Linked DNA regions of Bombyx mori. The protein of the gene in region 2 interacts with the protein of the main gene of each other region in a pairwise test. Links are inferred from orthologs where the notes say so. Each region holds a gene or a part of one and is shown on either strand. Other genes may lie near its edges. The genes, in order: protein phosphatase 1 regulatory subunit 7, serine/threonine-protein phosphatase PP1-beta catalytic subunit and protein phosphatase 1 regulatory subunit 3C.

Region 1 (11,202 bases), on a different chromosome or scaffold from region 2:
ACGCATCTCTACCTTAGCGTACGTAACTTTGACTATCCTAGTGGAAATTCGAGGTTCAATTATAATATTAAAATCAACACATAACTACAAAGTACCAACATTAGCTATTACTATTTGTATAATAACAAATACAAAATTAATTGAGATTTATTTTTATACATAGCTACTAGGTTTTAATTACCAAAAACTATTATACATGAATATGCAACAGAAAATTTACTACGTTAATATGTGCTTAGACAAATCAATGATATGAACATTTTTAGAAATCTTTCTTAACTTGGACACCAAGTTAATTGCTCAACACAAAGCAATAGGTGATCGTACACATTCGAACAAAAATAATTCGATTTTGGCGTCTTTTGTTAAGGCATTGTCTATAAACATGGAAGGACGGTTTTACCTTGGCAAGTTCACTGCAAAATTTAATTTAATATTAAAACATTGATCTTAATGTGAAAATTAATTATCATAATTTTGTTTCAATATGGTATGTCCTGTATAAATTAAAATCTTTTTTTTTATTGCTTAGATGGGTGGATAAGCTCACAGTCCACCTGTGCTAAGTGGTTACTAGAGCCTATAGACATCTACAACGTAAATGCGCCACCCACTTTGAGATATAAGTTCTAAGGTCTCAAGTATAGTTACAACAACTGCCCCACCCTTCAAACCGAAACGCATTACTGCTTCACGGCAGAAATAGGCAGGGCAGTGGTACCTACTTGCGCGGATTCACAAGAGGTCCTACCACTAGTTTTTGTATTTATGATAACTAATATATATGTGACAACAAAGATATAGATTGTAACATTTTGTTTCATTATTTTAATACCAAAGCAAAGATCATACAGGCAATTCATCAATTCTTACTGCTTGGTCTTCAAAAATTGTGTTATTTTTTTTGTAATTAAAATATAGTGGTCCTGTTTAATAATAAAATACATATTTGTCGCTTTAGTCAAACTGTAATAGTTGATGTAATACTTATTTCGTTTCATATATTTTTATTAACACACACAATAAATTCAAGAATCGGAACTTTTTGTTTGTTAAGTTAAATATGATTTTTATCTATTTGTTACCTAAGATATTTCCTTTGTGACTTATTAACACAAATATCCATATCGACGCTTGAAAGGCAAACGTGACTAAGCGACAATAACTGCTTTGTACATAAATGATAGGCAATAACCATATTCGATGCGCAAAAAAATATATTTCTAGGTCTATTAAAATCATTTCAATCCTACAGCTACATTTGTTAAAATATAATTTTTTTCAGGTATTTCTCAGGTATATTTTAAATTAATTTTAACTTTAAATTAGTCTACTGTAAAGTTCACGCATTGTCGCTTAGTCACGTTTGCCTTTCAAGCGTCGATATAGACTCATACCAATAAATATTTCAATTAGACAACTACACTAAATTACTCTGTTTTATTTAGATAATTTTAATATAACATACAAAAACGGAGAATGCTGCCACTATGACACTGAAGCAGTACACAAAATCGCACATTTATCCAACTCAAATTCAACAATTCCAACTAAATTACATGTGCAAATATATATACACTACAAGAGACAAGAGACGAAGTGATTTTAATTCCTCTGAGACAATATATTTTAATATAAAAGACACATTGTATTAAATTATTTCATTGTATTACATTGCAAGGCTATGTTACTTAATACATAGCCTGAAATGCAGTACTGTTAAAAAAATAAAGTGATTTATAGAAGACTTCTAATTGGATAATAATCCACATCTTAGAAGTCAATGAATTCAAAGAAGAACAATTCTACATTAACAGACTCCACGGAACAAATGAGTGATCACAAACAGTAGACTAATATTTCTTTTACCGCATCGTCTCTCATCCCAATACCAAGAAATAAAATTCTTATCTACACAGTGTCGCGTCGATCTGGTGTAGTGTTGGAAGCAATATCTTCAATTTCCTTCTGTAAGCTGGATCTGAAGCTATCGGGTTCCTCTCCAAATATATTGTGGATAATTTGTTGTTTTGTTGCAAATATTCTATCGATGACCATTCTGTTATTTGATTGTCGTTTAACTAAAATAAAAAAGGCTTTTCATTGAATGCACAACACAACTAAAATTTTGCATTACAATAAATAAGTTAGAACCTTTAAATCTACTTAAAAGGATATTTAGACTTAGGGACTTTTAGAAGGCCCAAAGTGATTTAATTATTTTACTTTCAAAACTATTTTGCTCATTTCATTTTTCCTTTATACATATTGTGATACTACGTAACATAATAATCTGCTGAACAGCAGATTAGGGAAAACTCGTAGACAGGGACGTCTTAAACTAGGATGGGGCCCTTGGGCACACAAAAATTTGAGGCCCTTTTGGAAAGTAAAAAAAGCGAATTATAATAACATATTTTTACTGAGTATGAGACCATTTATTATAGGTAATCAAATACAGTATGATATATATGTCATTAATGATATTAGACTGCTGCTGGTTTTTTGGTTACGATTTCGATAACGGTTTCTTTCGGGATTTCTGTTAAGCAAAATCTTCTATTATAGGCATAGTATAGGTAGGCCTTGTAAATACCTTCTGATTACTGATTTGTGAAAAAAGTGTGATATGCCCGACAAAAATGTTTTGAGAATAAACGTGTGAGAGAAATTGTCGGTCTTTCGGGCCCCCCTGAGAATGGCGGCCCTGGGCACGGGCCCCGTGTGCCCTTATGGTAACGGTAGACGGTATTGCTCGTAGATATACATTTTTTTTTTTTCTATTGCCTTGTTTTTATTGTTTCAATTAATGAACGATCCTCTAAGCCTTTGTGGTGTTAAGTGATTCCCTGAGCTTATTGACACCAATGCCGCCAGTCAACTTGAATCATGAGTTCAAAGTCTCAGTTTTATAGTTAGTACATGGTTCAATTCTATAGTACAAACCCTAAAATGCGGAAATGGGCAGGGTGGCGGTACCAGTGCGGGCTCACAACATTAGTTAATCTAAATTTTAATTTTATTTTAATTAATTTGTCAATTAACTTATGCTTCAATGTGTTTTTTGCAAAAATTGGAGAAAAACCATTGCTTAAAAAAAAAAAAACTCACCCATAGCTCCTCCAAATCACTCATATGCCGAACATTTTCTATAACAGTGATCCTGTTCACGGCCAGATCCAAGGTCTGAAGTTTTGTTTGATTCTCCAAATTTTCTATAGCTGTTATACCATTCTCTGAGATATAGAGTTGATCTAGTTTATTCAATTGTTCGAGATTTTCAATTTTAGTTAATCTGTTTGCCTGAAGAACCAGTATCTCCAAGTTGGTCAAATCCTCAAGGTTTTGTATTTTGCTTATTTTATTTTTACCCAAATATAATTGTTTGAGGGTCCTCAAACCTTCCAAGTTTTTTATTTCCTGTTAAAATACAAAATACCTACTCTTAATATATATTATACAAAAAAATTATGTGAAGTAATACATATAAAGAGTTGTAAGAAACGAATCTCTGTCGGAATCAGAAATTTATTAACAGTCTAAATTAATGAAAAAACAACATTAAATTACTAGGAGCTGAGATGCATGCTCTCGAAATTGTGTTTTCTTCAAATTAGTTAAAAATCATCTCTCTTAAACACAATCTTATGCGTGTTCTGTTGTTATGAGCAGTGTTTTTTTTTAAATTTTTTGTAGTTCTTTTTTCATAGATACGTATTTCTCCAGATTGGTCTCCTGTAAGGCTCCATTTTAAGAGAATTCATTGTGAAATAATTAACAATTCTATACTAAACTTAATTTGGCCTTTTCATACACATAAATAAAAACGAATCGATCGCGCACATCAATCTATTTTTAATTGTAGCATGCCAGTATGTGTATGTGTAGTAGCACACCAGTATGCACTCAAAAAAAATCAACAAAATCTACATTTGTGATGGTGATTTTTTTTGTGTTACATTGCCCAGAACTTCTTGTTAGTGTAGTTCCTAACTCTCATTGCTTGTTGTAACTTTTTGCCATACATCTTGTATATTTGTACTGGTGCTATTGATTCTATTATACTTTATTATGCTATTGAATAAAAAATAGAAGTTGTCACGCATACTCTAATTCTATTATCGCCCAGCTCCAAAAGTTCAAGGTTTGGTAAATGATTAACATTCTTGATTTCAGTGATCTTGTTTGAGCTGAGGAATAATTTCTTGATGTTCAGCAGCTTTTCGAGTCCTGTTATCTCTTTTATCCTATTGAATGATAGGTCTAATATTCTGTAACAAGAGAATTAATGTAACAGAATTCTTAGGAGAGCTGGAGTGTTTAAATCTAGAAACCACAATGTGAGAAACAAAACCGTCTGGAAATAAAAAGGCTAAACCAAACTATAAACTATTAAATATATACTATATTATTAAAACAATTCAAAATAAAATCAGAAACTCTTGCATTCTTCCCATCTTTTAATTTACAACTTACTTATATTGACTCCTAACTTGGCAGAGCAATGGTGCAACAGGTGCAGAACACCAAATGTCCCAAAAATTACAGGGTGTTAAGCAGTGAAATCAGGTAAAGGTACTTCTACAAATGAGTATTTTTATATTTGTAGGTAGTTATATTGGTGGTAACTCAAGTAAAATGTCGAAGAATAATCTTCAAACTACTACTTACTCCAAATTAACAAGACTATCAAGGTTTTCAATAACAACAATCTGATTGTCATACAATTCCAGTTCTACCAGTGACTGCAACATTTCTAAGCCTTCAATTTTCTTTATCAAATTCCATCTCAAATATAACCTGGAAAAGAAAGTATGAGTCATAGATGCTACTGCATTGATAAAGTTCCATTAAAAGCGAATGGGCATATTATGCTTTGAACTGAGGAATTAATTTAACATTGCAAATGGTTTTATCTATAACATGCTCAAACTCATGATCATAAATTAGTTATTTAAAGAAGCAATGTACATTAGGGTACACTTTATTTTAGTGACAGTATCTGCCATATTTACAAAATTTCATTAAACAAGGATATGAAAAACATATCTGTAAGGATACTTAAAGTTCTTGACAATGCATTCATTAAGTCGCAATTTAAAAATTTAATGAGTGTAGAAGTTTTTGAATGATTAATGCCTGATTTAGACATTTAGTTTATTTTCTATACCTCTCTAGCTTTTTTAAATGTTCAAGATTCTCGATCTTGCCTATACGGCCGTGATTTAAGTCGAGTTCCTTGGTCTCCTCGTTGACTAAAATTATCTCGTTAGTATCCTCGTCGGCCGGAGGTGGTGTCGCCGGTGGTGAGGCAGACCCTTCCCGATCCTTCCTTTCATCATTTTCTTTCCCATTGCTCACTGTTATGGGCACATCATCTGCTTCGTTATTAGTCATATGTGCATCTTGCTGAGCTGCAAATCCAACAATTATATGTTTACCCAAAAATTTTGTACAACTTATTTGGACCTATGAAAATCATCAATCAATCATCTGTGTGAACTGTTATTTAATTGCAGTAATTTACTACTTACACATTATTGGTGTCTGCCAGTGATTGTATACGTCTGAAGAAATTTCTGAATTCACAAAGGAGAAAGCTTTTTTTATTTAAGTTATGGCATAAATTCTTTTCATAATAAGTGGCAGGCAAGTGCATCATCTATGCCACAGGTTGACAAAAGTAACGAAGCCTATAGAGCCAAGTTTTTTGTTTTGCCAAGAAAAGGATGAACTTTCAAACCTTTCAAACCTTGCGTAATGAATTTTAATTTATCCATAGGTCACTATTCTTATCTGGCTAGAAGGACTATGCCTTACCGATTCAGTTGTTTCTAACGCAACGAAATAGGCAAGTTTTCGCATTGTAGGACAGAAGCTAACACCCGTATCTTTAGTCGTTCACACGAGCCTAACTCGACTCGACTCAACCTCCAACGCGCGTTTTGGTATGATTAGTCGTAAAAATAAACTCCACTCAAACGTCCTTGGAAAAATTTCCTAACCGGAGTGAAGTGACCGAACTGTCAAGTTAAGGTACGTCGCGACGTACCTTGAACGTTCCTCAAAACAGCGTTTAATACAAGATGACTTCTGAGAGCAGTTTTGAAGAATTTATTAACTATATTTTTGATAGCAGAGTGTATAATTATCCGTCGCGAAGGTATTTGAGAGATGCAGATAACCCGTTGGAAGTTTACGATGACGACGAATTCCGAAAACGTTACCGGCTTAACAAAGATTCGGTTGTGCATATTTTGCTGCCTTTGTTGACTAACAACATTAATGAAAACGATCGTGGACTACCTTTAACGCCCATATTACGAGTGCTAATTGCTTTGAGATTTTACGCAACAGGCAATTTTCAGGTTCGTGCATAATGTGCTTTTGTGTCTACATAATAGAATATTTATAATTTATAACTTTCATTTGGTTTCATGTGGTATGGTTATTTTTCAGATTGTTTGTGGCGACTTGCACAAAATTTCTCAATCCGTAGTATCAAAAACGGTAGCAAACATTTCTAAGAGATTGGCTTTGAAATCCAGGCAATTTATTAAATTCCCTGCATTAAATGAAAGGGTTGAAACTAAAAGAAAATTCTACCGAATTGCAGGGTTTCCAGGTGTAATTGGATGTATTGATTGCACACACATTCCAATAAAAAATCCATCCAGAGCAAGGGGAGAAATCTTTCGTAATAGAAAAGGCTGGTTTTCTATCAATGTCCAAATAATATGTGGACCGCAAATGGAAATATACGACATTGTTGTGCGATGGCCTGGATCTGTGCATGATTCGCGCATATTTAACAACAGCAGATGCTGTTTGAGATTTGAAGAAGGCGATTTAGTTGGCATTCTTGTCGGAGACAGTGGTTATGCACAGACTGGCTTTATGTACACTCCTGTACTCAATCCTCAAACAGACCCAGAACACAGATACAATCGAGCACATCTATTAACGAGAAACATTATAGAACGTGTAAATGGTGTATTAAAGAGACGCTTTGCTTGTTTGTGTAGAAAATTACAAAACAGTACACCAAACACATGTAATATTATAGTCTCTTGTGCTGTCCTACACAACATTTGTTTAATGACCAATGAACCTGAGCTGAACCCTGAAATTGAGCTAGAAAATGTCCCAGTACCTAATACTCAGGACTCTTCCAGAGGGAGTATTATAAGATCGGCTTTTATTTCTAGGCATTTCAGTTAAAAATTCTCATATGGGTATCATCAACCTACAGCAGTCCACTGCTGGACATAGGCCTCTCCAATTGCTCTCCACTGAGCACAATCCTCGGCTTCCCTCATCCAGCTCTTGCCAGCCACCCTGCACAGATCATCACTCCACCACTTCACAGTTTCGACTCAAGAACATGTTTACCCTAACAGTTATCAGTTGTCCGGCTAATATGGGTATATAAGTTGGAACCGAGCAGTGAGCACCGTTATTGTAATGCAGATAGTATTATTTGTTTTGAAGATGTATGATTAAATTTGATTTTGTTAATTTTGATAATTTTTTTACCAAAAAAGTAAATAGTACGAGGTTAGACTTTTGAAACTCCTTATTTTATTTATCTACATAAGAGTCATATTTTGCTTACTATCTAATAAATAAAGTCAATGTGATTATGAGTTATTTATTTAAATTATTTTTCACTACAATCTCTTTTAGCCTGATTATATTTTTTAATATCCTCTGCAGCTTCCCTCTCAGCCTTCGCTTTTAGATATACTTCTTCGGCTGCCTTCATCATCCACTCTCTTTCCTTTTTTTGGAATTGAAAGAGTTCGTCTTCTCTTCTCTCTTTCTTTTCATAAGATTCTTTTCTAAAATTAAATTCCTCCTGAATTACCCTGGTGCGCACATTCCCTCCTGTAATTAAATAAAATGCAATTGTTATACATCTATATTTGTAACATTTTAGTAATCTACATAATGTATATTTATGATTTTGAAGTGATGATAGCTTTAGTGGTAATTAAGGTATTAATGGGTGGTTTCAAATCCCACAATTGGATTGAGCTACTATAGTCGAATTATTAATTAGACTGAGTAAAATGTGATAGTCAATTCATCTGATTCAATACAATTAAAGTGAAGTTATAAAAAGATATTGATATATTTAGATTAGATTTACAAATTGCATTATTTGTGACACAACTTTTATGTATTTTTTTTTATGTTTGTTCACTGATATCTTTTTTTTTCTTCCTACCTATGTTGATAGCCTTGAGAGGCTTCTCCTTGAAGTGTAGGTGAGCTCATGGTGCTCAAGCCGGGTGTGTTGCTAACACTGGCCCTAGCAAGATCTTCGCAGAATCTACAACCGGATCGGAAATGCGACTCACTGAGAAGATCCAGCGAGAAACTCAGTGGGCTGTCTATGGGTTAATTCGATCGTCGAGACCTTCGTCGCAAGCGACGGGTTCAGCAAGGACAATGACCGGTGCTTGTGGTGCCTAAAAGAACCGTTAATGGGTCGGGAGGATTCGTAATGACGTGCTTAAGGCAACGTCGACTGTTTACCATTCAGTCCACAGGATCGGGTATGTGATATCTGCATCAAATGTAGGCCAACAACAAAATTTGTATTTTTGTTTTTATACACTCTCAAGGTTGTTCTGACATTTTCGAATTGAATTTTTTTTTACATTTTTAACTTACCTCCTAAGTAGGCTGCACCACAGTCAGTCTGCCGGGACCCAGAACGACGCGGTGGAGTGTCACGACGTGGTGGAGTGTCACGACGTGGTGGAGTGTCACGACTTGGTGGAGTGTCACGACTAGGTGGAGTGTCACGACGTGGTGGAGTGTCACGACTTGGTGGAGTGTCACGACTTGGTGGAGTGTCACGACGTGGTGGAGTGTCACGACGTGGTGGAGTATCACGACGTTGTGGGGTGTCACGACATGATACACTGTAATGCATAGGCGTGGTGCCTGCAACATTTCCTGAAAAAATACAAGATCAATAGTTCTACACATTACTTGCGTTTATTATTAAGTAATGAACTTGTGCTCTAGCTCAATCAATGATTTGTAGAATAAAAGTGATAGTTGGAGTAGAGGAAAGAAAGAATTTTAAAGTAATATTGTTCTTAATCAGAATGTGGTATATTCATTATGATTATTAAAATGGTTTCTTGAGTGAAAATCTTATCAGGTATTGTCGCGCATGTTATTTATCTAGTTTTTAGCACAGTAATACATGTAGTTCAACTCATATAGATATATAACAATAATCAAAAGACCCTCCATGCCACCACGTTCTTACTGTTTTTTGTGAGAGCATGTGAGATTGAAGCGCTTATCTCAAATTTTTAAGATTCACTTACCTTCAGAACTGTAAATGGTATCACTGTCAATGACACCCCTGAGTTCCACATCAGTCTGATCCAGTAGAACCTCAGCAAAAATAAGGGTCTCATTGCTGCTACCAGGCTGTGGCTCATTTGGAATACACTGTCCGCCACCAGTCTTCATTCTCTGACGCTTTTCATTAGCCAAAAAGTGCTTCCTCCGTGTTTTTAAATTATCCCAGCACTTCTTGAGCTGGGCCTCACTTCGCTAAAACAAATGATAAATAAGAATAGCATGGTATATATAGACAAGTAAAAATCAGATACAAGTAATATAAATAAATATCTACCTTTGCATTTGATTCAATTGAATTGAATTCTTCTGTTAAATGTACCCACAAAAGTTTTTTTGTGTTTTGACTAGCTGTCATGGTCGCAGTTTTGTGCAGATTATATTTTAAAATTAATTCTTGTAGGCAAGTCTTCTCGCTTTCGCTAAATACTTGCCTGGACGTCATTATAGAAAAACTGAAACGACAAATAATTTACTGCATCGTAATTTCACGTAAAATCTATAAAAAACTTTGCTTAGGCAGTGAGTAATAAAGGACAAAAATATTTAAACATTTGAGTTAACTTAAAGTTAACTATTTGATAAATAAAACACCACAATCATAACTTACCTGAATAATAAACCGGTGGTTGTGGAAAAGCACTTCAAAAAGACGATGCAATCAAATTCAACAAAGAAACAGCGAATAAAAATACAAAGCCGGGTTCCTGGAGGAGCTATTATTCAAAAACCGAAATCTAAATTATTAATCATGGGTTAGAAAAACGAAAACCTTCTATTTCACCGCACGCGCACGTATTTATGAGTCTCTCAACTAAAACATCAAACAAGTTCGGTGCGTCTAGTGTCAAACAGACAGTGGTAGCTTGACTTTGACATTAAACAATGACCATAAACTACAGAACTCTGTAGGTTTGATGCTAGCTTGATCAAATTTTCCTCAAACTGATGTTGTCGTGGTGACGCAATAGCACCTTTCTACCTCACTCGAGGACAGTTGAGGAATATTGTAATGGTCGACTAAAAATACCAAACTCGAGTAAGTTTGGGAGGAATATTCGAGCATCATCGGATGAGTTTAGAGTGGAGGACTATTTTACGAAACGTCTAAAGATACGGGCATAAGTCTTCTATTTGAAAATGAAATTGCTACCTCTGATGATTATCTATACATCTATACATATAAATAAAATTGGAGTGTCTGTTTGTAATATCGAAATAACCGCTTTTTACTACATGCATATGAATATACATACGGTACATACACCAAAATAACATTTTTTACAATTTTTGTCTGTCTGTCTGTCTGTTTGTTCCAGCTATTTTCTGGAACGGCTGGACCGATTTTGACGGGACTTTCACTGACAGGTAGTTGATGATATAAGGAGTAACTTAGGCTTTTTTTAGACTAGCTTCGCTCCGCGGCGTCACCCGCGGTACGATAATAAACGCGGGTAACATCGCGGGACTCGGCTATCAATAATAAAATTTAATATTTCCGAAGCGAAGCGAGGGCGGGTCGCTAGTTTGAAATATGTTAACTTTAATTTTATACGTTTTGGAAGTAGCCAAAAAGTTGTGTTCAACAACTTTTACAGTAGCAGTTACCCATGTTTTTGTAATTTTACCATTAAAGGCATTCTTAATGCACTTTTACAATAGAAAAACAACACAATCCCGCTTTTGTGTATTACTATCTGAATTCTATGTTCCTTGTTGTCCAAAAATGAAAATTCATCAAGGTTTCGTTAACAAAAAGATTGAAGTTTCAGTTAATTTTAACTGTTCCACTTGCTTTACTACACCATAGAGATT
Region 2 (9,674 bases):
CAATGACTCCTGCGGTGTTAAGCTGCTTGTACGAAACTGCCATTGCGTCTCCATGACTAGAACTTGATACCGATCCAAGTATAAAATGAGAATATAAGGCGTTATCTCTGTGACTATTAGTCGATTTCTTCCAAGCTACTAAACTGAAACGGCTTGTAATAACCAATGTCGTACTGTGTTTTGCTAGTATTATTTTACGGTGCAGAACACCGACCTCGTCATAAGATTAAAAACAAAAGTTGAGCAGTTAAAGCTATAACATAGAAAGTACCTACTCGTAAATTATCATTTCGTGTTAATAAAATTAGTAAGTATATTCCTATTCAAAATAAATAAATTCGTCTGCAGGATTGCTTTGTGACTTGCTGTGGTCAGATCCCGATAAGGATGTTCAAGGTTGGGGGGAAAACGATCGCGGCGTCTCGTTTACTTTCGGACCCGACGTCGTCAGTAAATTCCTCAACAGGCATGATTTAGATTTGATTTGCCGTGCTCACCAGGTAAAAATATTCACTTAATGGCTTATTCTAAGTATATCTAATTTTTTTCTCAAATATATAAATGTAATCTGATAGGCCAAGCTGTCATATTTAGGATTTCGATCAGAGGACCTTAAATATTATAGTATATTTATTGGAAGACACAAGACTTTAAGCTAGTTCTACCTTGTTACTTGTCTGTCTTAGGTATATTTCTTGCTTAATAGTTATATATGTATATGACAAATTATGTCTATGCACTCCTTTCTTTTATTTATTTTTCCTACATAAGCTGAGAGCCTTGAGAGGCTATTTCAGCGTAACCTTAACTAGTAGGTGAGCTCACGGGGCTCAAACCTGACGACGTTGCTAACACGAACCCTAGCAAGAGCCGTGCTTCGCAGAATCTACCACCGGATCGGAAACGCGACCCACTGAGAAGATCCGGCGAGAAACTCAGTGGGCTGTGTCTGAAGGTTAATTTACTAGTCGAGCCCTTCGTCGCAAGCGACGGGTTCGACGAGAACGATGACCGGTGCTTGAGGTACCTAAAAGCACCGTTAGTGGATCGGGAGGATCCGAAATGACGTGTTTGGGGCGACGTCGACTGCTTTCCATTCTGTCCGCAGGTACGGGAATGTAGTTACCGGCAGCCACGATGAGAGGGTTCTCCTCGTGTCGTGCCGCCTTATCGAAGTGGCGCATCGATGCCGACTGAAGATACTTACTGATGGATATCCACTCCAATAACCTCTTAAATATGGTGCTAAGTCAGACAATTCAGACTAATTAAAATGATGTTTTCGTTTCAGGTGGTGGAAGATGGATATGAATTTTTCGCCAAACGAATGTTGGTTACTTTGTTCTCTGCACCCAACTACTGTGGAGAATTTGATAATGCTGGTGGAATGATGTCTGTTGATGAAACTCTAATGTGCTCCTTCCAGGTAACATGATTACCATATCAAGAACTTTCAGATTTACCATATGCAGATGAAGTAGTAAATTATCATATCCCTTACAGATTCTTAAACCATCTGAAAAAAAAGCAAAATACCAGTACAATGGTATAAACAGTGGAAGGCCAGCTACTCCTCAAAGGTCACCACCTAAGAAAAAATAACTGACATTTGGTATCCAGTGTGCTGCACAGTGAGAGGAATGCTACAAATAATTAATTATATCATGTATTATAATTATTATTATTAGGTCATTGGACAGGGCCGGACAATGTGTCTTAAATTTGTGAAATATATGTTATCAATTACTTGTGCCTTCTTGTTTTACGTTTACACAATATGAGTGAAATTAATTTGTTTTGTTAAACTTTCATGAGGATTAATGAGTAGACACGTTCGGCAATGTTACATTGACATGCTTTTTCGATCCCTGAAGTACTACCTAGCAGCCCTTTAATTAGTACTGAACCCTATTGTGTTATCTATCGTCTACATGTTATAGTCAAATTGTTTCGTATCATTTATCATATTTTATCAGAAAAGTGGCAGCTGACTTCGAGATGCGGGCATTGGACACTGAAGCGTAATTACATTTACAAAATAATCTATTAAGTAGAGGATCGGAAGCACATTTGGTTGATTTATTTTATATCTAATGTGCCTATGAATGTAAATTATATATAAGTCTGGAGTGACGAAAATTAAATGATTTGAGAAATTCTTGTATGGAATAGGCAATAATTAAAAAACAATGTTCGTCCATAGTTGTCAACATGAATTTTATGTTTGTTGTAGTTTAAATATTTATTGATGGTTTAGTCCTTCTGTGAAGTTGGCCTAAACATGCAATTTACCTTCTTATATTTGTCATAGCATTTAAGTGTTAGTACCCAGGACTCCATTGCAAAAATATGTTTAGGAGAGAATATCCAGTGAAATAAAATTTAATTTGCTCTCAGTATTATTCTTAATGTTAAAATAAGTAGCAGTCAAAATTATAGGAAAGTATATGATCTCCCCGGCCGAGGCTTATTTGTCAGTCTAATTATACTGTAATGAAAGTCTCAAATTTAATTATTTAAAATAAAGTAGAAGCAGTGTAGTCCTCGCAACAATAGTGCAATTGCTAAATATTATATAAATTATATGCAGGTTTTGCATTGTACAATTTTATTTTTAGCTATGTTAACATTTTTCATTAATAAATATTGCTATTTAAACTATTTGTTTATTTTGTTTTGACATTCTGTAATTTTCACAAAAAATGCTAAACTTTTCACATTCAACATTAATATTAAAGGCAATTTATTGTATGTCTACTTACAGTATTTTAAATTAATAATATTTCATTTTGTATATTAAGATAGTAATGCAATTGCTATTCTCGATATCTTTTGCTCTGCACATCTTTCACCTACTCTTTGAAAAATTCATTGCTAGACTTTATTGTAACTTGTTCATGTACAAATTTCTGAAATATATTTTATTCAATCTATTATGCAATCACTTTATTTCATCAAAATGTAAGTCTTTGTCTGTCCAACTTTCTTCTTCTACATTTATCTTATTGTTTATTATATCACTTACAAAAGTATCATGACATTCTAACTTTTTGCTGATTTTACTGAAGAAATCTTCATTTTTTTTTTGATACTTCTGTAAGTCCAGTTGTAAAGCCTTTAAATAGCCTCTTTTGGCAGAAATAACATTCTTCAACCTATTGACCCTCATTTCATATTCTTTAGCTAAGGATTCAAGTAGAGACTTTTGGTTTTGCAAATTTTGTACATCACTGGCTTTCATTTGTGCTTTCACATCTCCTAATTGTGGCCTCCTGAAATATAAAACAAATATTACTACTAACATTCGTAGTTAAAATGCTAAATTTTCAATATATAAATGTGAAAAGATCGCCTTCATAAATATAAATCAAGCTTTATGTAATGCAAGTAATAATTGCAAAAATATTTGCACTGATTTGTGTTGTCTCTCTTAATAAATTGCTTCTTCGTTGAGCCTAATGTTATTAGAAAAAGTAGAAGTAGCAGCTACTACTTAAATTTAACCCTTTTTTTATGACGAAAGTGCAACTGCATCAAACAGAACATAAGAGGCAATTGTAGCTCGGATTGAATGTGTGTTAAATAATCTCAATAAAAAAATCGGATTTAATTCCTTCCCTAATATGAGACAAATTTTAAATTTTTGCATTTCTCTTATAGATATGAAGTCACTCGTTTTCCATGTTTAATTTTTCTGAATTGGGACATGGTGATAGTAGATATATATCATTAGATACATAAAGATGAAATAAGGGAATAAGTTTGTATGAACATAATGAAAACTTTGTTTCATTGAAAATAATATTATTTCATGTCCCATATCAGTCCTTAGGACAATTACACCACCTATTTTTTAGTTTACTATTGTCTCAAGGTGGGCAATTAAAACACTTGTATCTATAAGTTCCAGTAACCCTATGCTATGAGGTAGACTGTGTTGGTTTGCTTATTTTAGGTGCGATGGATTTTTGGCAAAATTTAATCAACTCTGCGAATACACTTGGATGACAGCCACTAGAAGATTTTGAGTTCTCGTAGACACACCACATTTAGGGTAGTTTTTTTTTTTGTATCCATGGGGAATCCCAGTCTACGGATACCCTGCCAATGGGGGTCGGACTGGGTTATGTCGGACTCCGCGCCAAACCCGCCCAGCTTAACGACTAAACCCCAAAGAGCTCCTCCACTCCAGCTGGGCCGGGACCCAGGTACCGCCATGTGCGCGCCATGGAGGGTAGACTAGGGTTAGTAGAATCCTTGAATACTTCAGTCACATTACAAGGAAGAATGGAATGGAAACCTCGCGAAACTCATCGTGACCAGTACAGGCCTTGAGGGTTTAACCCAATACATTGGTCTGACCAAATCCACACTGCTCTTGACTGTACATTTCACAACATCCTCCACACCCGTTTATCTGCTGTAAGTACTAGCTGTGTAAATTAGTTTTGAACAAGGGAGAAGTATATTATATATTATTATGTAAAATGTATGGGTTTAATTATAACCAATGACGGGATTCAAGGACTATGATACTAGTACACAACCATAAAAGGGATTCATTTTAAAATTTTATGAGCCTAATGGTTAACCAAAATGATTACTGTCCACTTTGCATGAAATAAAATTAATATAATATTTTTATTGTAAACAAGCATAAAAACAACTTCAACACTAATCAGACTTCAGACAAATGTTTTTATTGTTAAGATAATGTTTTAAAGCAACTTAAAAGCGGGTGTATACAATGCATTAGAACAAGAGCTTGCGCTGGCCAGACCTTCATTATTTTATAAAAGCTAGTTTCTCTGTGCATGTCCACAACATAGATCAGAAAAAAAGAGCAGCTAAACTACAGAGTTTGGCTTATGGCTAATTGAACAGATCACAAGTCCAATACTTTTCGGTTAGCAATTATTAAGTTTAATTTACTTAATTTAATATAATTTATTTCAGGAAAGTTAGTATTATTTCTATTGTACCATCAAACTTTTGGAGATGACATATTTGTAAAATAGTGTTATTTTGGCTTGATTGCTATTGATTTTGATTGCAACAAACTAAGATTAGTGTAATAGCATATCTGGCATTAATTAGCTGTCTAATATAGATATAAACCTATATAATCCAAATGGCACCTTTGCCAGGCACAAAGTATTGCGTTACACATACCATAATTTTTTGCAGTCTCCAACATCATTAAACTTCTCCTTCTGCTTTTCAAGAATTTCTAATTTTTCAGGCATACTTTCATATTCCCACATATTACTGATTTCTTGTACCATTTCATCAAATATACCCTGTTTTAAGCAATTAAACATGGGTAACCATTTTACACGTCGCAATTTTGCTTTAGGTACAGTTTCCAAAAAATCTTCATCTCTGTGACATAGCAATTTAATGAATTAATACAATTCACACATTTTTACCAAATTAAACTAGGTGACATTACTTTTGAATCAAAATTGTGCTTATTATCAGCAAATTGTAGGATTTACTGTAGGCTACTGTTACTAAGTTTACGGATTTTTCTAGCATTTTTTCGCTTTTCCTGCCTATCCTAATTTACCGAATCAAAGCTTTACTAATTAGAAGGGCCTGTGAGTCAAAACCATGTACAAAATAGAACATGGATAAAGTTGTTAATTCCAAATGCTGTGGTCAAATAAGTTACGCTTTTATTTTTTTTATTTTAAGCAATTGTTCCTAAAAAAGATATTATTAACTTGTTTCTGCTTGAAAAAGAAGTCTTTTAATTTATTATTTAATATTTTCTTATATTATTTATCAATTACTAAAATAACATATCAAGTGTGTACAATTTTAATTACTTGACAAGGTTTACGATGTTTCCGAATTCTTTCAATATGACGAGATTATCGAAAGGGACTTCAGAATTCAACATTTCAACATCGTTTTCAAGATCTGCTAAATTTTCACTCATCTTTATTTTTTCAACACTGATTGCGATTAAAATTGATCGAAACACTTAATTTAAAATTCACATCACTCAAAATTACAATAGTTTGCGCAATAATCACAATTATTTTATTTATTTTGTTTGGCCTAGCGTTCGTTTGTTTCAAACTTTTTTTAAAATATTTTTTGAAAATAACGAGCCTGGAGTGGCCAGATTTGAATTTATGATCCTCCTACATTCTTGTTTGCTCTATGCTTAGTTAAAATGCAACTATACGAAAGCTGCTGATAATACCAAACTTTTTAAAAAATACTAAGAAACAAATCGGGTTAAGAAGATTTGACAAGAAATTTTGGAATCGTAGAGAAAATTCACTAAAAATACCACGATTTTGTTTATTAAAGGTAAAAAAAAATAAAAAAAAACATCACGATTACCTACTATATGGCAATCAAATTCTACTGTCTAGTACTACTTTACTACTAATTTTAGGATCACTTTTATTGAATAATTAAGCAGATAGTGTCAAAGGACTTATAATATGTTATTTCATTTAATATGTAATTATTTGGACTTTTAATATTTATTTGAGATACTTCATCCAGAGATACCATATCATATTTTTCCTATCGAACAGATTGTTCAGATGATCTTAAATCTTGATCATATAGATCTTTTAGTATCTCTGAGTCCAAAGAGGCATTTTATCTACAATGAATTCTTCTCTAAGACGTTTCCTGAGCGCTACTTGGGTATGTCTAGAGCATTTTCGATGTATATAAGTAACAGTGACGACTTACGACCACTTGGGCCACGGCCTTGTTTTAAATTTACCATAAACACCGAAAAATCTTACATTAGTAGAAAATTCTGAATATTCATATTTTTTGTCCGAAAATAGTATTACTGTTTGCTAAATTTTTTTATGTGCTACAAAATATGTTTTTATCCCCATGGAGTTAATACAAACTCTATGGTTATCCCTAAATAAGGAACCAAAAATTTAGATTTTTTTTAGTACTGGTAGCACTGAACAAATTAAAATAGTTTTTTCCGTTTCATTTCATTGAATTCATTCCATAATAAAATTAATTGCAGACAAATTAACTTTAAAATTCAAAATAAAGTTTTAATTTATTTTCAGGGTAGCAAAATGTATTTTGAAACAAAAAACAGATTAAAGTGCCTTAATCTCAAATTATTGATTAATTTAATCTATCTGATCTTTTTTAAATATAAAAATGAATTGCTGTTCGTTAGTCTCGCTAAAACGGTAAGACCGATTTGGCTTATTTTGGTCTTGACTTATTTGTGGAAGTCCAGAGAAAGTTTAAAAGGTAAACCAATATGAAAATGCTCGGAATTAAATAAAAAATTACAATTTTGTTTTCCCTTTGATGTGTCCCCCGTCGGACGGATTCCTTTTGTTTGTTTTAAGTTTATTTTATACAAAAGTTTAGGTTGTTTATTTATCGATTGAGGCACTACGAAGTCTGTCGGGTCAGGTAGTTTTTGTGAAAAACTCTTTTGTTTTTTTCGGTATGGCAATCAGCTACTTGCGAAGGCGTTGTAAAGTCCAAGCGTACGTATGGTAGAATTATACGGTACGGTACGCGATGAAGACTTTTTAGCGGGAACGCGAGGAGCGACCCTAAATGGGTTTTTTAAATTTAGGTTTATACGTTTAATAATCCTGCTTTTATTATTAGCATCGCGAACTAGTCTTATATCTACATACATCTAGTAGTAAATGTAGAGTTTTTTGTACAGTGACTTAAAAATAAATATCAGTTTTTTTTATTGCTTAGATGAGTGGAAGAGCTCGCAGCCCACCTGGTGTTAAGTGGTTACTGAAGCACATACACATCTATAACGTAAATGCGCCACCCACCTTGAGATAAGTTCTAAGGTTTCAGTATAGTTACGACGGCTGCCCCACCCTTCAAACTGAAACGCATTACTCCTTCACGGTAGAAATAGGCGGGGTGGTGGTACCTACCCGAACGGACTCACAACAGGACCTACCACCAGTAATTACGCAAATTATAATTTTGCGGGATTGATTTTTATTACACGATGTTATTCCTTCACCATGGAAGTCAATCGTGAATATTTGTTGAGTATCGTATTTCATTAGAAAAATTGGTACCCGCCTGCGGGATTCGATCACCGTTGCATCGCTCGATACGAATGCATCGGACGTCTTATCCTTTAGGCCACGACGACTTTTGAAAGTATTTGGTATTTTTGCCTAATCATAAAACAAGTATTTCTTTACTAATGCATATTATTAAAAAGATGGTATTGTTCAAATAATTAGATGTATCACTCTATATTTCATCGAAGGGGTTATGCTAGCTTCACCAGACGTGTAGGCGAGCTCACAAAGCTCAGCCTGGATACTTAGCTAACACTAGTTCTACTAAGAGCAGTGCTTTGCTGAATGTACCACCGGATCGGAATCGCGACCTACTTAGAAGATCCGGCGAGAAACTCAGTCGGTTGTGTTTGTGAGTTTGCTTTCACGACGAACCGTTCTTCACATTCGGCGGGATCGACGAGAACGGTGACCGATGCTTGGAATGTCTAAAAGCATCCATAGTCGAAGGATCCGAAATGACTTGCTAAATATTATCGTTCGGAATTTAATATCTGCAAACTTATCTTCGAACTGGCTTCAAACTGTTCCATAATGGCTACGGCCACATATCTATGATGAGGACTCCCAGTAGTTGGTCTCTCAGGGATCGACATAAATTAAAAATGATTTTTCTAAAAATCAACCCCATAATAATTAACATAAGTCCTTATTTGCAACTTTAAAGATAGGTAGGTACCTACTACATAAGTCGTATTACTTGTACCATCTTGTCATAAAAATGACTAATATTTTAGTAGGAAGTATCCTTGTTGTACTTTTTTAAATTTAACAAGTCGATAGACAAGACAAGTTCGTACAAGATATGTGCTGAATTGTGTCTAAGTACTTTTTTTGTTGAATTTTGATGAGAAAGTGATATTAGTTGTACTCACAACTAACTGCTAAGTTTTGAAATTGGTAATTCCTTTTGGTAATTGGTAATTGGTTTTTCTATTGTATCAATAGAAAAAAAAAAACTGAAGTTACAATTCTTAAAATAGTTTGGCTATGGAGGTTTGTGGTATCAACTCATTTTGGAAAAGGGGTCTCTTGCCCAAAATAGTTTAGGAATCCCTGATATACAGTATGAATAGACAAAAGAAAAAAAATAAACTATTCTTCATTCTGTTTGTCAATACATTTTCTTAGTTGTTTAGTCACTCTTGACTAGTTTATAATGAATAAAATTAAATTAAAACCAAGGTTTGGTCCCTACAGAATAAAAAATAAAAGAAAACGCAATAGGTCTGTAATATTAATCTTGGAGTGTTTCTAGTGACTACTTTCGTGAATATTGTCGAACTGCAGCCATTAAGAGAGTATACATATATTTATTTAAGAAGTTAATTATTCAATAACTTTTTTCTAATCTTTCATTTCTGTCCACCGCAATGAAGGTCGACGGGTGGCAAACCTGCAATTTAGATTTTTAAAGGCCTTTCACACAATTTTTTAAATGACTTTTTTAACACATTTAACGGTAACCTCCAATTCTAACCACTTCTCATGTTCTGAATCATTTTCCAAACTCCTGTTATCTAAATATTATACGAAAATAAAAAAATACTTTTTTATCTTTTGTATTTTTTATTAATTGGAATAAGTAAAATAAAT
Region 3 (11,207 bases), on a different chromosome or scaffold from region 2:
ACAGCCCAATAAGTTTCTCGCCAGATCTTCTCAGGGGATGGCGTTTCCGATCCGGTGGTAGATTCTGCGAAGCACTGCTCTTGCTAGGGCTAGTATTAGCAACGTCCTCAGGTTTGAGCCTGTGAGCACACCTACTTGTTAGGTTACGCTGACATAACCTCTCAAGACTACAAAAAATCGTTGTGATTTGAAAGTCGATGAAACGAAAAAGCGACACTACACATAAATCCATGAGACTTAACGTGGGAGGAATGAGATAGGAAGCATAGTGTTTTTTTTTAATACAGCGCCATCTATGAGATCATTTTAAATGACTAACGTGTATGAAACCTCTTGTAATGAATTTTAATTTAGAATAATACATGAAGTTCAGATATCAATTCACAGAGTACGCTAGCTGATACTATAAAAGGTGATGACTTGTAATTTTATTTACTAACGACAAAATTTTACTCACATACTTAGACACACAAGATATAAGTTATATAAGTATATAAAATTTTGAAAGTTTCACTTCTGCGATGTGTGAATTGCATTATTGATGTTATTTGTTTATTGATGAAACAGGTGAACAAGGTATTTATGTGTGTATGTCAAATACATGGTAGTGTTTTATGTATTGATTTAATGTATTTTTTTTTACGCATAATTAAAGAAAAATATTAGCATTCGGCACTCATTCTCTATATTCTCTATAAGTGTGGGAAATCTCAAGCTCCTCTGTCCGCGCAATTTTTGTAAAAAAGGCTACAAAGTTTTTGCTTCACGTATTAATATATAGATAACTGGGAACAAAATTAAATCACAGGATAGAATACGGAATGAATATATTCGAGGAAGTCTGAAAGTGGCACCGGTGACAGAGAAGTTGAGAAGTGCGCGTTTGGTATGGTATGGATATGTGATGAGACGAAATGACAACGAGGTTGGTAAGAGAGTTTTCACTATTAATGTGGAAGGCTTTAGAGGATGTGGTAGACCGAAGAAAAAATGGATGGATTTCGTGAAAGACGATATGTGTAAGAGGGGAGTGAGTGAGGAAATGGTATATGATAGAGGAGTATGGTAGAAAACATGTTGCGCCGACCCCAGGTAACTACTAGGGCATTACTTATTTCATGTTGAAATCTCTTCCAGTAGGCCCGCAGAAGGAAAGAAGAATTAGGAACACAAACCTAGTGCATACAGTAAACATTACATATAATAATATATAGGTACATATTACAAGATACAAAACAATATATATACATACAAATACACACACACGCATATATACCATTTTCTTAGAGGGAGTCTTTATTTAGTTTTCTCCTCCCTATGCTGATAGCCTTGAGAGGCTATTTCAGCTTCGCCCTAACTTGTAGGTGAGCTCACGGGGCTCAAACCAGAGTGATGCTAACACTGACCCTAGCAGGAGCTGTGCTTTGCAGAATCTACCACCGGATCGGAAACGCGACCCACTGAGAAGATCCAGCCAGAAACTCAGTGGGTGTTCACCCGTCTTTCGTATAGGATTAGGAATACTGTCTAAAATATTAATTTTAAAAGATATTAAGGTCTTTATTTTTTTATTATATGTATTACAGAAAAGGCAATTAAGTATTTTATTGTTTATTCATTCTGAAGTACTCCATATCGTTATATAAATATCTATATCTTCTATATATATAAAAATGAATTGCTGTTGGTTAGTCTCGCTAAAACTCGAGAACGGCTTGACCGATTTGGCTAATTTTGTTCTTGAATTATTTGTGAAGTCCAGAGAAGGTTTAAAAGGTGAGAAAATATAAAAAAGCTCGGAATTAAATAAAAATAACAATTTCCTCTGATGTGTCCCCCGTCGGACGGATTCCTTTTGTTTGTTTTAAGTTTAATTTTATACAAAAGTTTAGGTCTTTTATTTATCGATTGAGGCACTACGAAGTCTGCCGGGTCAGCTAGTATATATTAAAAATCGCGTACGTAATGCAATACTTTCGCTGTTACGCTCAAACGATTGATTTAATCACCAATTAACAATTTAACGATGTTTCGATCGAATATAACGCTAATGTAAGTCTTAGGTAATGTTTTTTTTTGCCTACCTCATCTGGTAGGTAAGCTCACGGGCTCAGCATGAGAGTTTTTTTTTTATGGCTTTGTTGGGTGGACGAGCTCACAGCCCTCCTGTTGTTAAGTGGTTACTGGAGCCCATAGACATCTACAATGTGAATGCGCCACCCACCTTGAGATATAAGTTCTAAGGTCTCAGTATAGTTACAACGGCTGCCCCGCCCTTCAAATCGAAACGCATTACTGCTTCACGGCAGAAATAGGCAGGGCGGTGGTACCTACCCGCGCGGACTCACAAGACGTCCTACCACCAGTAAGATTTGCTAACACTAGCCCTAGCAAGAGCAGTGCTTCGCTGAATCTACCACCGGATCGGGATTTATTTTTTATTGCCTTTGTAGGCAGACGAGCATACGGCCCACCTGATGGTAAGTGGTCACCGTCGCTCATGGACGTCAGCAATGCCAAGGGCAGAACCAAGCCGCTGCCTACCAAAATCCACTGAGAAGATCCGGCGAGCCGGTTGTTAACCAATGACTGTCGTTTTATTGTATAGGGTGAGAACGTAGCCACGCTGGGGCGTTGACCTCACGCGTCATTTGTTGTTACATTGCGTTGTCAACTCTGCTAACATTAATGTAACAATTTACTTGATTTATTGATGTCCAAGGTTCCATTCGCCTTGCCAACAATTTTAAGTAATTAAAATTTTTAAGTAACCTCTTAATGATGACAAAAAAAAACAATCAAAATTATCTTACAAAAATTTATTATAAAAAAAAAATATAATAATAAAAATACAGTCTTCGTAACAATTCATAAAATAATAAGTAAATAACATTTTAGATTGTATCTTGTATTTCTTTAAAATATTTCATAATAATAATAAAAAAAGGAACATTGTGTGAAATAATGAAAAAAATAATAATCAATTATTAGTAATTATCTTAAACTAATATTACATTCAGATGTATTTATTTAAAAAAAATTAATATTAACGAACAATATTTATTTATTTATTTTATAACATTCAATATATCTATAGAAAATATCTATAGATAAATTGAATTTGGATTTGTTCAATCGACACGGGCGCTCTAACAGATATGTTAACAATCTTACTTGACTGGTGGTAGGACCTCTTGTGAGTCCGCGCGGGTAGGTACCACCACCCTGCCTATTTCTGCCGTGAAGCAGTAATGCGTTTCGGTTTGAAGGGTAGGTGAACGTTTGTAACTATACTGAGACCTTAGAACTTATATCTCAAGGTGGGCGGCGGCATTTACGTTGTAGATGTCTATGGGCTCCGGTAACCACCTAAACCAGGCTGTGAGCTCGTTCACCTATCTAAGTTATAAAAAAGTGCAGATTTACGTTACAGCGTTCCCAATAAGCACCTCAATTACTGTCTCACGCCACAGCCGCTAACCTTAGAACATGAGGCGCTCCCTCCTGGCTGAGCCTTTGCTCGCCCACCTGTCCTGGTGAAACTGGAAAGGCCACCGGCCAACCAGTAATCTTTCAAGCATAAAAAAAAAAACATGAGGTTAAAGACCCAAGAACAACGCTACAATCAAACCGTTCTCAAACGCGACCTCCACTCGTAACCTCCAGAATGTCAATTAAAACAGATCCTCCATTGTTTCATTTCACTTGAACACATTAATTTTCGCTTTACTGACTCAAATGACTTCAATATGTCATTACGGGTATAATTTTTACATTGAATATGACAAGATCTATGTAAATAGCACGTGCAGATCGAATCAAATGAGAAAGATCTGTATTAGAACGAAGAGAGCACATAATTAAGCCTTTTAGCGCGAATCGTCGATAGATCGACTCTCTAGTGATGCGTATAAAGCGCAGAGTCGAAATACCGATTATTTGCGCAGTTTGATTATTAGGTATCGAACTGCACGGACGTGTCTTAGCGCGCGAACTTATAACGATTTTTTAATAAGGCAATAACATTTATAAATAACCATTTAAAATTATTTTGCTGCCAATTTAGCAGTGATTTCTTTTTTGTATTATTTTCTCAAAAAATCTTTAGCACGTTCTAAAAAATATGTATAACTAAGCTCAGCAATAAAATAGCTATATCAAAACAGTTTTGTGAAGAATTAAATACTCTCGCTTTCAACGAATATGTTTACAAAATTACACAATTACTTTCGATTTACGATAATTACATTAATTTCCCTGACGTTTTAAATTGAATTCCCGTGTTATTAGTCGAAATAACACGAAGCCATTACGTGTTAGAATCGCGGCAAGAGCCCGTCATTTAACAAGGGAGTCAGTTAGGGTGGCGCCACAGTAGCAAATGGAGAGATTTTAGAATGAGCACCATAAACTATTACAGATACTAAATTAAGAACGAAAGAAACTTCCTATGTGAATATCAATAAAAATAAATAGTTGAGATTTTAAATATGTATTCCATTTTTTTTACTACACAAGTCACGTAAAATATTAATATTTTCAACTTAGCACATATCGCTCTGTTTAAAACTGCTATATTCATATAATTTCCACTTGCTACACTAGCGCTGTGTCGGTGAGTCTTCCAACAACAACGCGCTGTTTACAGACGGACAATTTATCAACTTGTCCCCTATACAAGATGGCGCTCCTTACTTCTACCTTGCATAGTTTCTCAAGATCGTATCGGAACATTCAGTTGGCTTTTTAAATAAAATCATGCCAGGGAATGTGATGCAGTCATAGATAAATCTCATAGATTTGCTTCCCAAAATGCCCCAAATCAACATTACAATCCGACGATCGCGATTAGAAGATTTTCATCTGTTTTAACTAAAAATAAAGCGTGCTGATTTTTTTTATTTATTCCTTTTCACGCATCTTATAAACATAACCAACATTGAAAATATCGAAACTCGAATCTTTTAGACTCCATCGTGCCGCATTGCAAAATTACAATCATAAACAGCGTCTTTAGAAAGCTTGTGTAAGCAAACGAACCGCTTTCGGAGTTTTCTTCAAGAACGTTCTGGTATAATTTTAATTTCAGCTTAATTTAAAGCTTTTTGGGGACATATTTTTAATACACAGGTACTCTTACTCTCCACACACCAGTGTAGTAATCTGCGCTTGACAGCTGCCACTTTTGACATATGTCATTTTTAAATTCCAGTGATTTGAGATCGCTACATACTATGCTCGCTTAGTTAGACGCAGCTGAAGACGTATCGACATAAGAGGTTACATACCTACTTACATTAAATCACAAAGTATATTGATTACAATAGTTTATTTCACGCACCGTCTCACTATTAGGATCGATTAAAATCATGCATTAAAATTCAATGTTTTATTGTGCCGATTCACCAGATCGTTTAAAATCCTGCACGTGAATTTCTCCAATAGCATTCGGCCAATCATGAGCATTCGTGAACACAAGCGTAAAGTAGCTACATGTTTTAAAACGAAAAAAAAATATGGTGGCCTTTGCCGATCCCACTGCCTTCGGATAAGCAGCGTTATAGATTACACGCCCGTATAAATATTCCACTTTATAATGTCATAATTATTTATATTTCAAATTAATGTTTTACAATTACAAATAAAGATTACACACCTCATTATGGATTTTAAAATAAAAACCCGCAGAACTGTTCGCCTAGCATTATTGCATCACTATTTTGACGTGTGACATTCATTTAATGTCATTTTTTTTAAGACATAAATTAATGTAATGTCAAATTTAGTATTTTTTTACATTATTCATTGTGTATTTTTTACGGGCTTATTTTAATGTCGAAAACAGTTTCCGACAAAAATGGTTAAATAATCATAATGATATAAAAATAAAAATAAATCATTTTTAGACCAAACAATCTAACATTGCCTGATATCGAACGATAAGATCTTTCTAAAATAAAGCTATGAAATTAAAAACCTTATATGTAAACGTTCTGTTTTAAAATTCGGTTCAAATTACTTTGTTTACTGATAACATAAGCATTTAAGCATATTAAACATTCATACCAATTTCGAGCAAATTTCACTAAACGCGAAATCAGACTTTTGGTTAGGTATGCGTCCCTTATAAAATTATTAGGTAACTTGGAAACACTCGAATAAATACAATCATAATTATCGCAAGCTCCGCTCTGATAATAGCTGGAATAGCCCCTTAGGCCACTAGCGATTAGGTAAAGAGAAATAAAAAAAAACTTAAACAGTTTCAAAACACAATCACGTACCTATTATCGCCGTGACGAATCTACATTATCGTAATTACAATTGTAAAAATCAAATAGACCAACTTCTAGCAACACTATGTGAAACTATTATACAATAAAACGTTTTATAGATTTATAAAAAACAGCAGTCTTCGATTTCTCGTTCGTTTTAAATAATCTAATAATTCAGACTTACGTTGACCAGGAATAGTGCGAATCCATTAAAAAACTGCACTTTTCGATTATGGCACAGAAATATCGATACAAAACCTTCACCAATACGGTGTATTTTCACTTGATTCGGTCGATCTCGACGTCCACGAATTGCCGTATTTAATTCTAGCGCACGATATCGCCGGCGGGTTCCTCGCCGATGACTTTTCGATCGTGTAATTCCGGCCCTTGTTGTTGTCCCAATACTCGTTGCCCTTGCACCGGAAGCCAACGCAGAAATCCAGTCTTCTCGAATGTATCGGTAATTGTAAACGAAATCCGAAAGTGTCGTATGTCGATTCCTTCTTCTGATTCAGCGGCCCCATCTCGACGAACGCGCAGTAAGCGTCTTCGCTGGTCGCCCATCCGTCGGAAGAAGACCGAACGAACACTTCCTTGCTGAAATCCAGGTTTTTCACTTTCACCGTACCATCGACCGCGCATTCGTTGCTCTTTACAATAACATTTTCTAACGATACACAGTCCTCCGTGATGCGCCGCCTGAATTCCAAATAATCCGAAGCCGGTTGAACAAACCGAGTCTCCCAAAGATCGGGAGCTTGTTTCGGAGGTGGCTTCCGCTCTGGCGGTGGACTTTCGACGACCTTGAGGGCCCAGTACGGCGGCACATGTGAGGGCTCCGTCATGATCTTGACGTGCGCTAACGCGAAGCCACGGTCGTCAGCGAATACCACTTTTTTTTGTTTCTTCTCCGTCGGCATACGGATGCAGGAGCGCGGGGCGCTTTTCAAAGTCAATTGAACAGGTTTCAACGTTGCAAAGCATGGCGCGAAATCTCGCGTCGTCAATCTTGTTGGTCTTCGCAATTGTGGCGTGTAATCAGTTAAGAAGCCGGCCGGCGGACTGCGCCCGTAAAATAACTGTTCGGAAGCGATCATATCTATGGCGGCGCACATCTGACACGGGACGTACTCTTTCGAAAACGATCGATGCCCGACTGAAAGCGAGTTATCGGGGCGCCCCTCTTTTAAAACGTCGGGCGCGTGATACAATACGGTGACAATGATTTCAATGGAATATTCCGGACTCCGGAGTTTATTTACGTTAAGAGAAATGGGTCAAGTATTAATGGGCAGACGAAGTTTTAGCGATGTTGCAATTCATAAAAACATTTAATGTATTCACCCTTTGTTTCAGGGTCATCCGGGATTTAGTGAGTGTAAGCGTGGGTTTTTTTATACTTTTTGAAAATAATCTTTGTTATCAGACGTCGTCCTTCCTTTTTTGATTTCCTTAAATTACTGATATAATTAGTTATACATTATCTAAAAAAAAAAATTGAAGTTTTACATCAGGCTAATAATTATGGACTGCTCGAATTTTGATCGTCACACATACATGTAATAAACTATACTGAGACCTTAGAAGTTATATCTCAAGGTGAGTAGCGTATTTACGTTATAGATGTCTATGGGCTCCAGTAACCAATTAACACCAGGTGGGTTGTGATCTCGTCCACCCAACTAAGCAATAAATAAAAAAATACACACTCGATTATAATAGAAAGAGACAACGAGTGAAAGTTAAATGGAAGAGGTGCAACATTTTTGATGTATGTCTAGATTGCAGTGAACTCCTATTTCAAGTTGCGTTAATAATGCTCATTTCAAAGTGGCCAGCTGATAATCTGAACCTGGACCTTTTTAGGAAGGAAGACTTACTGGTGGCTCTGAGCCCTTTACAGTTTCACCAAGATAGGCGAGCGAGCACGGGGTCGGCCAGGAGGGATGTAATTTGATAACAGTTACCTGAGCGCCTCCGGAAATGACCTAACAGCTCGAAGGCTGGAGGGAGGAGGTTAATAAAGTTAAGTAGCCATCTATACGATGGGCCTTAAGCTTAATTACCAATCATAAGCAATAAAAAATTTGTTTCCGAATTATTTTTAATTTGTTTTTATCGACTAAGCTTCAATTGGTGGCCGAAGCTAATGGACATTAATAATGTAAATATCGTCATCTAGATTGTGAAAATCACTAGTAGACGCCCTTCAGGAAATCTTGAAAATGGTACTGAACCAGGAATACCAGCTGCTGCCTTCGTTTTTATGGAAACCATCAAAACCAAAACAGTGTATAAAACAAAGTTCCAACAATGTATTTTCCAATCGGTTAACATTTTATCTTGTTCGCATTCCAATCGGCAAAGGTGCGAGGTCATGTGATAAAGTAAATCAGGTTTGCTACAGTATTTCCAATGTAACAATGTTGTTATTTGCAATACGAATGAACCGTTGCAATTACTCTTCGAACTTCACGATGAGTTTGACGCGAAACCTATTCAGCTTGCTATGTTTCTCGCTGGATCTTCTCAGCCGGTCGTAATTGAGATACAGTAGTATACATGCGCGAAGAAGCTGCTCTTGAACTGTCAGGTCTCCCTCGAAAGCGTTTGGGTAGCTGTTAGGATAACCCGATTCTCCTGGCTGAGTCCGTTCTAGTCCAATCGTTCTGGTGAAGTTGGAAACTTTTTTAAGCTACCCACGGTTCTTCTATCCAAATCATTGCATGTAATGAGCAGGTCGTTCGATGGAGTTATCAAACAATTAGTGCAGTTCGAACTGTAGACAATAGATGGACACATTCAGATTAGTGACACGCTGTGATGTATATAGTTGCTCACCTAGTGCAAGATACAAATTACTTGCATCCTAAGAACATGCTATTTATTTTATGGTCAAACAATAAAGTTTCATTGAACAATAAAATCGATAAATTAATGATTTATTTATCTGTTTACAAAGTTCGTGCACATTAAATAGTTTTATTGATAAATTGTGACTATATTTAGATTGTCGGAGAGAGGCGGAAACAAGCGATACGACTCTTTGACTATGTGAGTTCCGAGATTTGACATATTACTGATTCTATTGTTGGTTTAAGTGAATTTACTTAATAGGAATTTCTATTGTTCATTGGTTATCTGTATTCTACTCGTAGAACTTGTGCAGGTTGTTACCGTTATCCGATATTTGCCCAAAAAAAAAAAAATTCTGGTTTCAAGGTCATAAAATAGAGAAATTGCTGCTTTGACCGGTTTTGCTGCGACTAATAAACGCCAAAAGGCTGAAATTCTCGGGTTTTGTCAAAAATATTGTGATATGACTATTCTGATGCTGCTATTTCCGATGGCCATGCAAAGGACACAAACACATTATTGCTATAACATGCCATTCGTCTACATTTGAATATTGTGTAATGACTTTGCATAATACTGGTGTTTATAAGCTGTATTTTGACGCATTTCGATTATCTTGAAGGAGCACATTGTGGACGACAAGAATGACCGACTAAACAAAACTGCATTTTAGGTCTGCCGCATGTGAAAGCTGAATAATATACGAAACTGCAATAATTATCGCGCTGCACAGCTTCGATTCACGCTACCCTATTTTTAGTACCGATCGGTAAAAATAGACGGGGTCGTTGTTTTTGCAGTTGTGCTCCTACTTGCCTGCCACTACTTGAGATTGAATTTATGACGTCACGTGGACTTGTAATTAATCGAACACCTGAGGATGTTGGAACCACAAATGGTCTTAGCCGTATGTGGGGGGGACACACATGTACTGGTGACGCGAAAAATTGCAGTTAAAGCATTTATTGACTCCGCTCGCTAGTCATTCTGCAAAAGCCCAACGGAATAGACGAGTGTACCCAGCTACTCCGCAATCACCGTCTAAAGCGCATGGTGTGAGACACCTTACTTAAAACGGCCTAATATCACCTCCCTCAAATTAGACTTGTAGCTTGTGTAAACTGTAAAAATATAAGTGCATTGCTATAGTATATGTAAAATTGCAAGTATAAATAAATATACGTCATAGTTTGGCTCAACAAGACTTTGATTAAGCACGCAACCACATCCTTAAAATAATCAAAACTTCATAAATCAATAAATATTACGTGGGGAATTTATGAAATCTTAGTTTTTATTTAATGTTTGCCCTTTTCTTAGTGCGATTCAGGTTTCTAGATACCTTATTTTTTGTTAAATTTTCCACAGAGACACTATCAAGCAAACTTACGAAAAACACAAGCTTATTACGCTATGTCATCATATGACTCAAACTAAAAATCTAATCTATTCTGAAATTGGTTGGTATGTACACCACGTGTAATTAGTTTTCAAATGATTCTTTTCCACCTGATGGTTATCTGGAAGAGATCGCTCTTAGCGATAAGACCGCCATTTGTACTTTTTTTTGTATTTAATGTTTCGCATTGTTTCTTTTGTTGGTGTACAATAAAGAATACTCTCTCTCTCTCTCTTTCTCTCTCTCTCTCTCTCTCTGTCTCTCTTTATCTCTGTCTCTTTCTCTCTTTCTATTGAGCTCTAGCCTGACGCGGGAATATCCGTCATCTCCTGTCAATATGGACACAGTACATGTCACGCGGCCTTCACGGGCACACTTCTCTCCGCCGCGTACGATACATGTAAAGCATAACGCAAACACGCTAAAGACACCGCGGCAATATTCTATTTGCATGCGCCGCGTAAGAATATAAACAAGTATTTCGATTTGTGACGCGAACTTGACGAGGTAATGGGTTTTAAAAACATCAATTTGTCACGGTAAATGTAGTGATGGCGGCAAAATTACTCGTCATATGCGGTTATAGTGTCATTTTTCCTACAGTAATAAAAGGGATCGGATAATGCGAGTACCATGTAAATAGCAGATACTGCTTATCACTTAACGTTGACTGG

The links.
Region 1: the proteins of serine/threonine-protein phosphatase PP1-beta catalytic subunit (region 2) and protein phosphatase 1 regulatory subunit 7 interact in binary tests that used the Homo sapiens proteins (3 or more experiments, as listed by UniProt). The link is inferred for Bombyx mori from reciprocal best matches to the Homo sapiens genes PPP1CB and PPP1R7.
Region 3: the proteins of serine/threonine-protein phosphatase PP1-beta catalytic subunit (region 2) and protein phosphatase 1 regulatory subunit 3C interact in a two-hybrid assay, tested with the Homo sapiens proteins (2 studies listed by BioGRID and IntAct). The link is inferred for Bombyx mori from reciprocal best matches to the Homo sapiens genes PPP1CB and PPP1R3B.

Annotation. Positions count from the first base shown.
Region 1 is NC_085109.1:2,514,090-2,525,291, reverse strand, and holds the start of protein phosphatase 1 regulatory subunit 7, read right to left. Parts: upstream 5,677-11,202; 5' UTR 5,539-5,676; coding exon 5,535-5,538; intron 5,415-5,534; coding exon 5,171-5,414; intron 4,801-5,170; coding exon 4,672-4,800; intron 4,272-4,671; coding exon 4,109-4,271; intron 3,421-4,108; coding exon 3,112-3,420; intron 2,082-3,111; coding exon 1,916-2,081; coding exon of another isoform or gene 1,908-1,915; exon of another isoform or gene 1-1,907. Other genes in the region: putative nuclease HARBI1, read left to right, coding at 6,087-6,368, 6,460-7,221; uncharacterized protein LOC105841298, read right to left, coding at 7,661-7,887, 8,680-8,967, 9,351-9,582, 9,665-9,832. UniProt on the Homo sapiens protein: Regulatory subunit of protein phosphatase 1.
Region 2 is NC_085124.1:8,360,165-8,369,838, forward strand, and holds the end of serine/threonine-protein phosphatase PP1-beta catalytic subunit, read left to right. Parts: intron 1-348; coding exon 349-500; intron 501-1,291; coding exon 1,292-1,426; intron 1,427-1,503; coding exon 1,504-1,602; 3' UTR 1,603-2,852; coding exon of another isoform or gene 2,853-2,909; 3' UTR 2,910-2,933; downstream 2,934-9,674. Other genes in the region: uncharacterized protein LOC101737498, read right to left, coding at 2,942-3,272, 5,173-5,382, 5,832-5,944. UniProt on the Homo sapiens protein: Protein phosphatase that associates with over 200 regulatory proteins to form highly specific holoenzymes which dephosphorylate hundreds of biological targets.
Region 3 is NC_085130.1:10,292,811-10,304,017, reverse strand, and holds protein phosphatase 1 regulatory subunit 3C, read right to left. Parts: upstream 7,453-11,207; 5' UTR 7,394-7,452; coding exon 6,536-7,393; 3' UTR 2,805-6,535; downstream 1-2,804. UniProt on the Homo sapiens protein: Acts as a glycogen-targeting subunit for phosphatase PP1. Facilitates interaction of the PP1 with enzymes of the glycogen metabolism and regulates its activity.